2 linked regions of the Xenopus tropicalis genome follow. The protein of the gene in region 1 purifies or fractionates together with the protein of each later gene. This does not show direct contact. Links are inferred from orthologs where the notes say so. Each region holds a gene or a part of one and is shown on either strand. Other genes may lie near its edges.

Region 1 (7,554 bases):
TGCTACAGCCATGTGACCTGTGCTCTGATAAATTTAAGTCCCACTTTACTGCTGAGCTGCAAGTTGGAGTAATATCACCCCCGTCCCTTTCCCCCAGCAGCCCATCAGCAGAACAATGGAAAGGTAGCAAAATAGCACCTCCTATTAGATATCAGAATAGCACTCAATAGTAAGAAATCAAAGTCTTGAAACAATAGGTTATCTGAAAGCAGTTTAATGTGTAGTGCTGGCTCCTTCTGAGAGCTCAGAATCAGGCACAATACACTGAGATGGCTGTCTACACACCAATATTACAACTAAAAAAATACATTTGTTGGTTCAAGAATAACATTATAAATGGTGAATTATTTGCTATGTAATCAGTGTCATTTTGAAATAAAAAGTACACCATAAAAATCATGACAGAATCCCTTTAAATAATTTGATACCGTTCCCCACAAACGACTGCTTTCTAAACTAAGGTCTATTGGTCTTAGTGAAGACGTTTGCACATGGATAGAAAACTGGCTACAGGATCGGGTACAGAGGGTGGTTGTTAATGGTACATTCTCTACTTGGAATAAGGTTCTCAGTGGGGTCCCTCAGGGTTTTGTACTGGGTCCACTTTTGTTTAATTTGTTCATAAATGACTTAGGGGAGGGTATTATGAGTAATGTATCAGTGTTTGCAGATGACACAAAACTCTGGAGACCAGTCAATTCTATCCAGGATGTGACATCCCTGCAGCAGGATCTTGACCAACTGGCAATCTGGGCGGCTAAGTGGCAGATGAGATTTAATGTGGATAAATGTAAGGTCATGCACCTGGGATGTAAAAATATGCAAGCCACTTATACCCTTAATGGGACTGCACTAGGCAAATCCATAATGGAGAAGGACCTTGGAGTCCTTGTAGATAATAAACTTGGCTGTAGCAAGCAATGCCAGGCAGCAGCTGCAAGGGCAAACAAGGTTTGAGCTGTATTAAAAGGGGTATAGATTCACGGGAGGAGGGGGTTATTCTTCCCCTTTACAGAGCGCTGGTAAGGCCCCATCTAGAAATATGCTGTTCAGTTCTGGTCTCCAGTGCTCAAACGGGACATGATTGAGTTAGAGAGGGTCCAGAGAAGGGCAACTAAGCTGAAAAAGGGTATGGAAAGTTTCAGTTATGAAGAAAGACTGGCAAAGTTGGGTTTGTTTACACTGGAGAAGAGGCGCTTAAGAGGTGACATGATAACTATGTATAAATATATAAGGGGATCATATAATAACCTTTCTAATGTTTTATTTACCAGTAGGTCCTTCCAACGGACACGAGGGCACCCACTCCATTTAGAAGAAGGGAGGTTCCATTTAAATATTCGGAAAGGATTTTTTACTGTGAGAGCTGTGAAGTTGTGGAATTCCCTCCCCGAATCAGTCGTGCTGGCTGATACATTATATAGCTTTAAGAAGGGGCTGGATGGATTCTTAGCAAGTGAGGGAATACAGGGTTATGGGAGATAGCTCTTAGTACAAGTTGATCCAGGGACTGGTCCGATTGCCATCTTGGAGTCAGGAAGGAATTTTTTCCCCTCTGCGGCAAATTAGAGAGGCTTCAGATGGGGTTTTTTGCCTTCCTCTGAATCAACTAGTAGTTAGGCAGGTTATACATAGGCATTATGGTTGAACGTGATGGACGTATGTCTTTTTTCAACCCAACTTACTATGTTACTATGTAAGTAGCTTTACTACTTTAAGGGTGAGTACAAAGCACCCAATGTTGTAAAAGAAATAGATGCAGCCATTGATCAAAAAGTCCCCATACCATAGACCTAATGGAGGTTTGGTCAGTTTTATTATTTTTATTATTTATAAAGCGCCAACATATTGCGCAGAGCTGTGATTTTTACAGACCTCAATAGGCGAAAAGCAGACAACTACTGTTTATAATAATTTCTAATAATTACATTTATAAAGCAAACTTATGTTAATGTTTATATGTGGGAGAACATATTATATGGGGTCTATTCAATTATCAAAACAACACAGACTTTTAAGCTAACTGCACAAGGACAAGATTTGTTTGCTCGATTTTTCAGTATGTCAAAATAATTGGGAATTTTGGTGATTTTGTGGACCTCTAGGCAGCACAGCGAACCCAATGATTAACACTGCTGCCTTGCAGCACCAGGGTGCTAGACATGCAATATAGACACTTGGATTGCAAATTCATAAGGGCATGTACCAAAAGTCTAGAGATTCCCACTTATTCTAATGTAAAGCAACCTAATTCCTGAAAAAAATGCAGCTATAAAATTATAGATGTGCCATTAGTGTTGCATAGCAGCTTATAAAAAGGGATGTTGTAGATGGCTACAGCATTCTATATATGGTGCCTGTTACACCATCTGCTTCATCTAGTTGTGTCTTTTGTACAACTGTGTAACAGGGCATCAGTGCCATGGCAACCTTACTGTGATGGAACCAACTGTGATGGTATAAAAATAGATTTCATGGACAGGACTCTTTCTGAGGTCATGCAATTTATTTTTCACATTCTAGTGTATCCTATTATAGAATAAGCCATATCTACAATTCTGAGTAGGTCCAATCTAAATGTAATGAGCCATGAAGAACCTGAATAGTCTGTGATATTTTATGTATGATAAAAATATTAAACTGCAGATGTTACATATAGATTTCCAAATGTAGACACACAGATAAATATTTCACAAAGATCCGTTCCATCTCATTATTACATGATCTAATTTTCCTGTCTACTTGATTTTGAAAAAGCCTTCTCTTTAGAAACAAGGTCTCAATATAGATACAATTTTCACAGTAATTTAAAAATTTCGCAGAGCTTCTGTCATGCACAGGATTACATTGTTCCTTTGCACAACTGCTGGGCACAGACACTGAGTTCATGCCCAATGCCTGCCAGCCCTTCAGTGCCCATCTGCATGGGATGCATGTCTAATCAAAATTAGAAAATTTATAATTAGTGACCTGACAGCTGAATGTTGCCTTCCAGGACAGCAAACACATCATATCCCTTTTCTCTGGAAAATAAATTTACCTATTATATTAGTAGCTTAACTCAGCATGCCAGCAACTTAACCAACAAATAATATATCACAATAAATGACCAACTTATCATACTTGAGACATCATATGACAACAATATCTGCAATAGGAAGAAATATAGAAGTAAAATACACTATTGTCTCCATTCATTAGTTGATGTAAACTGGTATGCATTATTTCAATAAGTGATCATACTAACAGAAAAATATATTTTTCATGTAAAGGCCTTATTTATATAAAAAAAGGTGTTTTATATAGGGTCAATCTATACATTTATACTTGATATATGCAATGTTCAAGGGTTCAGTGCCCCTTAAAGAGATTTGAAAAAGCATACTGTCTTGCAAGGTACTGTCCCAGTGCATTCCTGGCTGCTGGCAGTTAAAGGGTTATGAGTCCATTTACAGCATTGTTTTTACTGTAGTGGTAGAAGCGCACAATATAATACCTATATAAATAAGGACTGTAAATAAGGATTGTCACCCTTTATCAGCTAAAGGGCTGCAGATAGTAAAAAATCAAGAAAGAATCATATAAAATCTTACAGTTAACACTAGATTAACTGTTGCTATCTTTTCCTACAGCCCCACACTTTTTCTACCTAAAGTTACAATCCAGCACAGCCCTGTGCAGGAGTGTGGTCAAGAAGCTCAAAATTTGCTATTTGCAGTCACCTGTCATTGCCAGTGTGTGCTATAGGCAGAACATTTTATATACATTTCATTATAAAGCGACAACAGACCTAGGCCTTAGAGTCATGTTCACTATAAAAATTTCCTGTGGTGTGAGGATTATATTTTATAAATATATATAGTTTAACAGTTAAATGCATCCATTTAAGCCCCCTTATCTTTTTCATTTTTATGTTAAATCAGCCACAACTATTTTAAGCAGCAATGTAGTATACATGTAAGATAATGGGGCCATTTAGATAAAGAATAATTGATTCTAATCAGTCTAATCTAGTGGGACAATGGCTCTAATAGAATCCTTTCCAAAAAAACATATATGGTTTTGGTTGTTTGCCACACTGGAGTCACGTGAGTACCAGGAAAATAAAGAAAGTGCCAATAAGTTTTCCAACAGTACTGTATTACATTGCTTTTGAAAACTAGACAATTTTACAAATTGTTTCAAGCAAAATTAAAAACTTTTTTTTTTTTTTACATGAGCTCTACAGGGCAGGACCTCCCTCCTCCTGTGTCCCTTAACAATTAGCAATTATTCTTGAATGCAATGATATTTTTTGTATACATTTATGTTTTATTATTGTATTGTTTCCAGTCTATCCTACTAATATATTCTTTGAAAATATTACATGAAAATATATGCATACATTTGTGAGATTGCTAATGTGTTTGCCAACTGAATGTCAAAGTTTAGTCAAATCTGATTTTCATGCTGCTGAAACTGGAAAACCCATTAGAAGAATTATCTGGGCCATGCATGTGGCTTAGAAGTACACTCCAGAGAAAAAACACTGTACTTAACGCCGAAGGTTCTTGGGCAGGTTTTCTTATTTTAATGGTTTGATACATCTTTACATGTAATGATGCAAAAATAGATCTATAAAAAAAATAGATCTATTTTCATAAAGGCATAAACTGGTTGCATCAGGTATAGCAGGTTTATTACTACCTATAAAACGATATATGTTGTAGAACTCTTCCAGCTGATAAAAACAAGATGATTTGTTCCAAGTTCATCAAAGTTACAGACGTTTATTAGTGCTGATTCTATGAAATCACAAATTCAATCTCGTTAGCATTTAGAATGTGTATAGGCAAAACACACAAATTTATTGTTGACTTCAAAAAAGGTAACCCATAAAAAAGTTAGACTGTACCTTCCCAGGCGCCTTTCTGACCTCCACTGCCCTCATATCCATGGATGGTGGCACTTGATATATTTCCTGTGAAGAGGTAATTGAAGGTGGAACGTGATATATGTCTTGTACTGTTCCAGAAGAGGGTGGGACTTGATAAACATCGTGAGGCTGAGGAGGACTTATGGATCCCACTGGAACCTGGTAGAGTTCCTGTGATTGGTTCAAAGATGGTGGAACCTGATAGATGTCTTGTACTTGGCTTGGAAATGGGTGCTGAGCAGGCTGGTTCTGGTACAAGGAGGGTTGTTTTGATGGGGTTATTTGCCCTGGATGCTGTGGCCCCTGAGGGTTCTGATAGAGCCCCTGCTGCCCCTTAGAAGATGCTGGCATCAAATATACGTGTTCTCCACCTGGGCTCTGGTAAGCAGAATGCATTGGTGTATACTGATTTGATGATGTGACCACATTATAGACCCCCTGGGGTTGATAATTCAGTGGAATTTGGGGCGGCTGCTGTTGTGTTTGTTGCTGAGGCTTCTGTTGACACTGGTCACCAGAACCCTGTTTCTTGTCATACATTCCCACCAGAATCTTCAGCCTGTTTCCTGGGACAATCCCCTGTCTTCCATGTAGAGAACAAAGCCACCAGCCTTCAAGACCCTGAGTGTTTCGTTCAAGAACAGTCATGATATCCCCCTTTCGAAAAGACAGCTCATCAGGTGACTCAGCCACATTATCATAAAGAGCTTTGGCCAACACATTCTGCAAGAACAAAATAGTAGGAAATTATTGAATCTTTTCTTAAATTAGAAAGCAATCACATTATTTACAAAGGTGTTTTTAGGTTCTTTTAAACAGGTAACATGTATTTGTAATATTAGTCAATTCATTTGCTCTAATGAAAATTTCTAAAGTTACATAAATCATGACAAATCCTTAAATGGCCCCTTTCAGACCCTAAAAAAGCCTACACTTATATTTCCTTTATCTGTCTGTGATAAATATCTCCCATTATAGGTCAGATAAGAACACAGCAGTGGCAGCTGAAAAGGACAACAGTTTAAATTAAGCCCATTGATAAAAACAGTTGACTGTGGGAAAAAAAATGTTTGCCTGTCACAACACTGAAGAGACAAGCAATGTTTCAACATTTTTGTATGAACTGTAAAATGTCATAAAGTCCTCAATACAAAGGAACCAGGAGTAAAGCAGAGCCTGCATAGCAGCCACAACAATACAATGATTGTTTTCTGCCTCTAAGGGTTCTGGCACACGGGGAGATTAGTCGCCCGCAACAAATCTCCCTGTTCGCGGGCGACTAATCTCCCCGCATTGCCATCCCACCGGCGAAAATGTAAGTCGCCGGTGGGATGGCACACGCTGCGCAGGCGATTTCGCCAAATTTCTAAAGAGAAAAAGAAAATGAATGACCATTATCTTTAGACACTACGGGGCACATTCGGTAAAAGAGCTTGCCACAGTTCACTGGAGGATACCGCAGTCACTCTCTATTCAAGTGGATTTTTAGAGGCGTATTTATGTATGTATGTATGTATATCTTTATTTATAAAGCGCTACTTATGTACGCAGCGCTGTACAGTAGAATTCATTAATACAGACAGGGGGGTTAAAGATAATGGATAAATACAAAGTACAACAATAAATACAAATAAATACAAGGTACAGTTGCAATAAGATGACTTTTTTAAGAGTACTAGGTGTTACTACAGCAGCTACTACACACACAATTCTCACTAATCTTGTTTTTACTGGAATGCATGCAAAAAAAAAAAATTGCAAAGGAGCAGGTGATCCTAACTTGCTCTCTGTGGAGGGGGTGGGAGTAGACCTAGCTACAATCAAATACCCTAATATGCAAGGGTTGTATACATAGCCAGCATAGTTATAAAATACACTCTAGCTGCATAATTAGAACATATACTATCTTGTGACCGCAGGACTTTACAAGAAAAAGAAAGTATCAATACACAAAAATTAAAATATATATCTAATTCTAATCCCAGAAGTATGAAAAAAGAACTCACACTGAGCAGAAATTGTTGGTGGCTTAGAAAGTGCGAGTGAGGAATGTAAAATATTTTGCAGCTAGGATACAGAGGTCAAGATAATTAAGTTCAAAGCCATTCTAAATAATTCCTCTATTTGAGAGGGCAGGCAGGCACCAAAGAACCAACTTACATGCTTTTCTAAGAATAGAGGATCCAGTCTTTGGAATTTCTTCTAAAACAAATGGCAACTAGTGAATAAAATGTACAGGTGACATTATCCCTTTGGGATCGTTATGTCACTTTATATGCCTTGACTCCTCGATATCTCCCATCACAAGTAACCCCCTATTTCTCCCAGGACTACAACCGAATGCATTTAAATGGTGGACTGCTAATAAATTCATTAGGATAAAGAATTTACTCATCAGTTAGGGGCAGAGACACTCAGAACAGGCTCCATCCACCTTTTTTGAGAGATGGTGTTCAAGCAACACTATCCCACCCAAAGCTATCTAATCTCCTATCTATCGTAATTTGATCTCACCTAAGAACCTTATGGAAATTTCATACAATAAACAATAGCATAGGGACCTAGGCACAAACCTAACAGAGGATCAATGGTCCCAAATGTGAGACAACTTAAAACACAGCTCAGCCAATACAATTTTA
Region 2 (7,554 bases), about 55 Mb from region 1:
ACCTTTTTAAAGATGGCTGCCTGTTCTAGAAAACAGATAGAAAATGTGAAGTAAGTGTGACTGAGTAAATATTTGATTAGGTGAGCCAAAAGTGTTTTTACTAAACAATAGGAGGACTATTGGGCAGTATGCTTTTTAAATTTTGACTTGCATTCTCCTTTAACGCCTCCAAGTGAACCTGACATATACTGACCTATCTATACACTTACACTAATTAACAGAATCTGCCATTACAACATCACTAGGAAGGGCATTCCCCAACCTCATTGCCCTCACCATGATACTGCTGCAAATGAAATTCCTTTCCTCTAATCTAAAGCGGTGGTCTCTGGTGGGAAAAAAAGAACATCCCCTGTCTGCCTCCCTACACAAGTGCCTTTTCCAGAGAAAACAACCCCAACATTGACAGTCTAACCTCATAGCTTAAAGGACATGTAAAGCCTACATTTGCCTACAATGTATATCAGTTGGGCACGTCTCCCCCACCCAAATGGCATCATTTGTACTGCATATATCCCCTCTGTTTGCCAGCACCATCACATTTTCCTAAAGCAAATAGCAGCTTTCACCCAGTGCCATTTTTCCTCTGATACATAACTGGGTACATTTAAATCTGCAAACAGCATATATACACACACACACACACACACACACACACACACCCTTATTCAGCATACATTTAATCAGGAATACAGGCTCACACAGGCAGAACTGTCTCTGATAAAAGTTCTGATTTGTTTGTTTGCTGAGCTCAGGAGAGGAGGTTAGGAGAAAAAAATTGAAGCAGACAGCTAGAGCTGAGTTTCTATGAGAACCAGCAATGCCATCTCTACTGGCTGCTAGACGGGGGGAGTGTTTAGTAATCTGAGTTTAGAACAACTGAGCATGCCCACAAGCCAACAGCCAAAGCAAATTCCTGAGGGAGGTGGGCGAGTGGGTTACAGGAGGAGAAGGAAATCTAAGTGATTAAGGGGACACTGCAGCCTTACTATTAACCTCTGGACAACCAGTGTGGCAGGTATTGAAAGATTTCAAAGAGGCTGTTCACTGATTACATTTTTGTGTGTGGGGTTTACATGTCCTTTAAATCTTCCATCCCCTTTACCAGTTTAGTTGCAGTTTCTGCACTCTCTCCAGCTCATTAATATCCTTCTTAAGGACTGGAGCCCAAAACTGCACTGCATACTCAAGGTGAGGCCTTACCAGAGATCTATAAAGAGGCAAAATGATGTGTAATCCCTTTATTTGCTTTAGTAGCCACAGAATGACATTTTCTGCAATTAGACAACTTGTTATCTACAAAAATCCCCAGATCCTTCTTAGTTAAGGATACCCCAACACACTACTATTTAGTGTATAACTCATGATTATATTATTTTTACCAAAGTGCATAACTTTGCACTTATCAACACTGAACCTTATTTCCCAGTTTGCAGAGCAATTTGACAAAATTGGAAAATGGCAGCAAAGTAGCAGCATCCTGCAAGGAACCTTCATTAGCTGGTTGTGTCAAAAATTAACAGTTCAGATTTCTGCTTTTTTCCCGTCATCAACCCACTGAGCCCCCCTCTGATAATAAGGGTCCCACCTCTATTCTTGCCAACCTAGAGACCTTTAATCCAACCATAAAGGTTTTGCAAATATACTGGCCTGTATACTTGTTAAGAAACATTATAAAGATATTCCATTTTCCTTCTGTGTTTAACCCTGTAAAAAGCCTTTCCCAGTTAATACATACACTATGTTATGATCACTGTTCCCTAAATGCTCACCCACACTAATGTTAGAGATGAGTTCAGAATTATTAGATATCACCACGTCCAAAAGAGAATCATTCCTAGAAGGTTCTTCAACAATATAATCCCTGGGATGTTTACTGATGGGATGTGAGGTGCATGTACCAATTGGAAGTTTAGTTAGTGCCCATCATCATAACTATACAATGGATATGCGGATAGCCTCTGATAAGCATAGGGGAATCCAGTTTTATTGGATGATGAATGTCACATGCACACGTGTCCAGCTTCAGCCAGACCTTCTCCAAAACCAAGCACAGAACAAATGAAATACATAAGGCACATGAACAGTAAGGTCACGGAAACTAATGTATGCAACGAAAACCCACATGTGATTAGTCGCAGCGTCTCATGTTGTACCCCGTGACAGAAAAGACGGTGTGATAAGTTACCCTGACCGTCTTTTTTTCTTAATAAATTTGTGGTGACTATTTTCTGATTGTGTTTTCGCCCTTAGTTGCCAAAAAGAGGTTGGATACCCAAAACTATTATGTGTTTAGAAAGCAATAGAGCTACTTCCTCCCTGAGCAGTCCCAGGTCAGGGCGGCTTTATTAAAAAGTCATTTCTTTGCAATCAAGCTATAATTTTAACATTGTCCCTGCTAATTTACCCACCAGACTGAACTTTTGATTTGTCCCAAATAAGCAATTATGTTAGTCCCAAATAAGCAATTATGCCCACCATAACCAAGGATGGAATTAGTGGTCTGCAGCAGAGGCAATTGGTAGGGGGGTCCAATAAAGGGGGGAGCAATTGGCAGGGTGAAGGGGCACCATTTGGGGCAAGCAAGTGGGAAAATAGGCCAAATGGTATTGTCTTGGACAGCAATTTACTACAATTTACCAACCTTAGGAGATTGCCCCTGGCAAGGCTCTGTTCCTGGGATACCCCCTGTCCAAAGTTAAGGCTCAGACGTTTAGGGACTTCAGCTTTTGCTTCCAAGGGGCCCAGTTCCAGCCGTCTAACTGGAGAGGTACCATACTTCTCCTCAATGCATCGAAGAGGCACTGTCCTGTTAATGGGTTGGAAAATGATGGCTCCACTCTGCTGCGACACGGCCTTGCGATTACCGACATAGTATCTAACCAAGGCAGGCATGCTATCGAAGCTTTCATGTTCCAACTGGTACTGGATCCGGCAGTAGGCTTCATTCAGCCTGATGACTACTTTATTTATTTTGAAATGTTGGGAGAGATTTTTCCACTGACAGGTGAGCACAAAGTTTCCAGGACTTGACAGAGAATCTCTTATAAGAAAATCCCCATCTCGTTTCACCAAGTTTTCAGATACCTGAACAATAGAGAACACAAATATTAAATGGAGGCTTGTATACCTATCCACCTATCAACACTGGCCATAGACATTAGAGAACTTAGTATTTCTAACCTGACACTGGTTTTTAGATTAGTAATATTCTCTCTACATTATATAGTATATCATTTCAGCCAATATGGCCCTAGTCGACAGATTCATGATCACAATATCTAAGGTAAGCAGCGGGATAAAAACATTTTGCTCCTAAAAGTAGTTCAGAAAGCTTTAGTGATTCTTTGCAGCACAAAAAAGAAAAGAAGGCCACCCTCTAAAACTGGAAGGAGGAAAACTTAGGAGAAAAAATATGTATCACATGACTCAAAGGTAGTTTTTAGCTGTATTACAAGCTGAGTGGGAAAAGGGCAATGCAGTTATACAGAAAACCTACCCCCTAGGGGAGGAGAGATGTGATAAATGGAAGCAGCTAATACATAAAGCAATGTCTCAGTTTTCTGAAGAAAGAATGTAGAGGAAACATGGTAACCTGATAACACCCTCATTCCTAGAAGACAATCAATATTTTCAAACAAAATAAAATGAAACGGAATGCTGGCGTCTAAAGAATAGGGTCCTACTTTACTACATATGGAATGACCTTGTGAGTAGAGCAATTACTATAGGAACTTAAACTGGTTGAAATACATCTCCCATCTGGTAAATTACTTTGACACACAAACAATTCAGGTATATTATATGCCTTCAACTTCAAATGCTATCTTTGGTTGGTCTGTGTTACAAAGAGGTGGTACATGGAGGAAGCACTGTATATACATAATATAATTGATACTGCTGCCCAAAAGAGAATGGAATGTCCAAAATGGAAGGCAAAATGAAAACAACCCTTCTAGGAACACACTTTTAACATTAGCACAATGAACACAGCTTCTGCTGTTGTTTTAATTACTCATGTTATTTGTTATTTCTGACACTGAACTGGACAAAATATGAAATTGAATGTACAGTCACAAGCTGCTCCTTATCAGAAAGTCTTGTGTGTGTGTGTGTGTTTGTGTTAAAAAAAAGCAGTAACCAAAACAGATAGGAGTATATTTCCCTATGTTATAGCTGAACAAAGCAGGATGAAGGTCAGTGTAGCAATATAAACCAATTTGGTACTCTGTGGCTTTATGTATATAGGCTATTTAGGTAGCTTGTTACCTACAGTACTAAACTTTGCTTTTTAGCTCCCAACCTTTCAGAGTTCCAGCACATATTATAATATAGTCTAGTATTAACTTGCTGCCTCAGGCACCAATGGACCGAATAACAATGGGTACAGTGCCGTGTATACTTTGTAGCATTATATGAGGAAAGAAAATTAACCCTGTGATGAGTAGTAGCGTATTTGATTTCTAAAGGAAATTAAAGGCAAGAGAGTGAGATGCAGGAAATCAGCTCAGGCCAATGCAAGTCTGGGAAATATTTAGTGTAGTAGCAGATTTGCTGAGAACTTTCTCGGTTCATAAAAGCTTAGTGTCACTTTTTATGAGCAGTGTAGGCCCCTGCTGTGGAAAGGGCTATTCTATGGAAATGCTTCTTTTATTTCTGCTTGTATGTGCAGAGGGAGTCTATAAAATGAAACCTGAGCTGTGTAGCCTTCTCTCCCACTTTCCATGGAGCAGGGAATTGCTGCCCACTAAATGTGTGATTCCCAGAGTCCAAGACTTGATTTCCTGGGTAACATTACACAGCTGCCAGAGCATTCAGCAAGTAAAAGGAAATCAAAGGGATCTGAGCTGGAGAAAGGACTCCAGTTGTTATGGTATTAAGTGGAGCCTACACCTGAACATGGGTACTATTCCTCCGGCTTAACATTATATATAAACAGAATGAGCAGTCATGGACCTCACAAGCTATTGATGCTCTTCAACCCACAGGTTTCCCGACAGCCATATTGCTTCAGATTTTCCCCTCCCCTTATAGCCTTTGTTAAACTTTTGTCCCCCCTCCACACCTAGCAGTTCTGAGATCCAGTCACTAGCGGAGAATTCTGGGAATTGTAGTACAGTAGTAGGGCAGCATTGCTGCATTGCTATGACTACAGGAAAGAAAGGAATCCCCCTCTCTGTAACACACAGCTTTACCGCTATTGTCTGAACTAAAATGAATGAGTGTGCAAACAAATAGCTTTTTAGCAAGAGTTTGGTATTTAGTGTGTGGGGCTTAGACCTTCCTGCTTTCATTTCTCATTCACAGAAAGGTGAGCTGAGCAAATAGCACACATGAATAGCTCTGCTGACTTCATTCAGGAACAGATCATACACCTGCGGCTCACCCTCTGAATCTATATGCGCAGCTCAGCCAGCAAAAGGTCACTGGGATGGACTCTCACTTAAAGCACCCACGGCTTGAATCTCTCTATGGAAATAAATAGTGCAGGTCTCTATACAAATATATCATATAAAACACTCCACAGTTAAAACACGGTTTCATATAAATATTTACACAGAAAATATATTTTTCTAATCACTGTTTATAAGTGAGTGTGGATCCTCATCAGTTTTAGGGATTATTATTGTGCTGGCTGCACCCAGGCGTTCTAAACTGTGCATTCTGGCACTCTATTGGCTAGACTGAAAAACTGCCACTCTGGCTTGTATGGGGGTTGTGCTCACACACAAACCAAGGACATGCATGCAAGCTATCTTTCATCAGCCAATGAATGGGCAGGGCTGCCGCTCATCTTCCCGTTACAGTAAGAACCTACAGTATTTCCTGTCAGGTGATCAGTGAGTAGCTGATGGTAAAAGCTGTAAAAGGGAAATATTAACTGATAACTATAAGCCACTTTGATAAGACTGGTTATTGCTAATTAGGATATAAATGACATGTTGTATTTCTTTTTTTACAACATATAATTCTGCTTTAAACTTGTTTCTGAAGCTGCAACGAGAAGAAAGGAGGAGATGAATATAAAAGGTACTCCTACAGATGCTCACCCACAAAAACAGGCAGGCCGGCTTCTTTCTAACTCTGCTTTTAGAATGCTTGCTGATGTCCTGCAGGCCACTCTGGTAAGGAAGAAATGAATGCCAGCCTATGGCTTTCTACCAACTACTGAGCTCCAGGGCCACTGGCTGGCTAAGCCTGCTGGGAGTTTATTTTATCCTTTCTTTGCCACTAGAAGGTAACAGTTGTGTGCAGGGTAAGATTTTCAGTTTCAAAGGGAGCAGTAGACACTGACCTGCCGTGGAATCCTCCCATGATACCAAGCATGGCTCCGTAAATCTTCACTGTTCAGCTTTAATTCTTCCTCCAACTCCTTCTTTAACTTGTCTGGGGTTCCACCATCCATAATATAGCGATCCTTGGAAAACTGCAAGACAAATCAGTGAGGCATAGCACAAGTAAGCTTTGTGTGTGCTCCTGTATCACCCAGCTTCTGGCACAGCACCCTCAACAAGAACTTTCGTTTTGTCTTCTGTCACCTACTGTCACTTGCTGCTGGGATGTGGGTGTAGCATTTCATAAGCCTGCCTGCCTCTGTGATCAAAGGCCGTCACGCAGGTTGGAACAGAGCAAGGTTGCACCTGCAGTCACATGCAGCACTCTAAATCTCCAATCTGCCCTTTGCACCGAGTTTATGAGTCATTACTTTAAGACATTGCTTTAACTATTAAATGACCAGCTATCCCAGGTCTAGATCATCTAGGAGAGAATGCGTAAGAGGATACGGATATTCCTAAATGCTGCAGTTCAGAACAAATTGCAAAGAGCTAGGTAAGTAATGTAAAGGTTTGTGTTCAAGTGTTATTTTTAAAAGTGAACCTGTATGCAGTTTTATATATAACAGTGAGAGCTAGAAAGTGTATGTACTGTACGCTAACAGACTGAGAAATAACACTGGGGTTATGCAGCAACCAATCAGCTGTTAGAATATATTGGTTAGGCAGTGGGTAAACACAGTAACTAAACATCTAATTGGTTGCTATGGTAATTTAAAACTAGGCAACACTGACCTTGTTACCATCCTGGTAGAAGGATGAATAAATATATAACAGGTGTAGTAAGGGTCAAATCTGGACCTTACTGTTCTTCAGAGCAAACCCATTTAATGATGAGCATTGCCTCTACCCATTCCAGTTGCCCTCTGAACTCATTGTGCTGTGAAAATGGGGCCTGTGCTGTAAATCTGTGCCGATAACATCAGAATATATAAAGGCGGAGAAGGAGGTGTGTCTGGGGGGAGTCCTAAGAGAGGAAATGACAAGAGCTTTGCCTCATGTCATTCACCTCCCAGAAAGTGCAGAGTTTTGTATGGGTCTAAGTTATGCTCGCTTGGTTACTGAACACTGGTCATTCCCATAGCCAAAATGTAACTGAATGTACCAGTAAAGCTTTCCCTTTAAACCAGCACTGGCTTTAATAAAATCAAACCTATTTATGCATCTGTGTATTTTATACATTCTTGTAAATAGCATTGTATGATTTATATCTAAGTTA

The links.
Region 2: the proteins of bcar1 (region 1) and bcar3 purify together in Homo sapiens (co-immunoprecipitation; 4 studies listed by BioGRID and IntAct, counting the BioPlex papers as one, with this or other methods). This does not show direct contact. The link is inferred for Xenopus tropicalis from reciprocal best matches to the Homo sapiens genes BCAR1 and BCAR3.

What each region holds. Positions count from the first base shown.
Region 1 is NC_030680.2:48,739,044-48,746,597, forward strand, and holds part of bcar1 (breast cancer anti-estrogen resistance protein 1), read right to left. Parts: intron 5,639-7,554; coding exon 4,895-5,638; intron 1-4,894. UniProt on the Homo sapiens protein: Docking protein which plays a central coordinating role for tyrosine kinase-based signaling related to cell adhesion. Implicated in induction of cell migration and cell branching. Involved in the BCAR3-mediated inhibition of TGFB signaling.
Region 2 is NC_030680.2:103,998,220-104,005,773, reverse strand, and holds part of bcar3 (breast cancer anti-estrogen resistance protein 3), read right to left. Parts: intron 6,428-7,554; coding exon 6,296-6,427; intron 3,088-6,295; coding exon 2,645-3,087; intron 1-2,644. UniProt on the Homo sapiens protein: Acts as an adapter protein downstream of several growth factor receptors to promote cell proliferation, migration, and redistribution of actin fibers.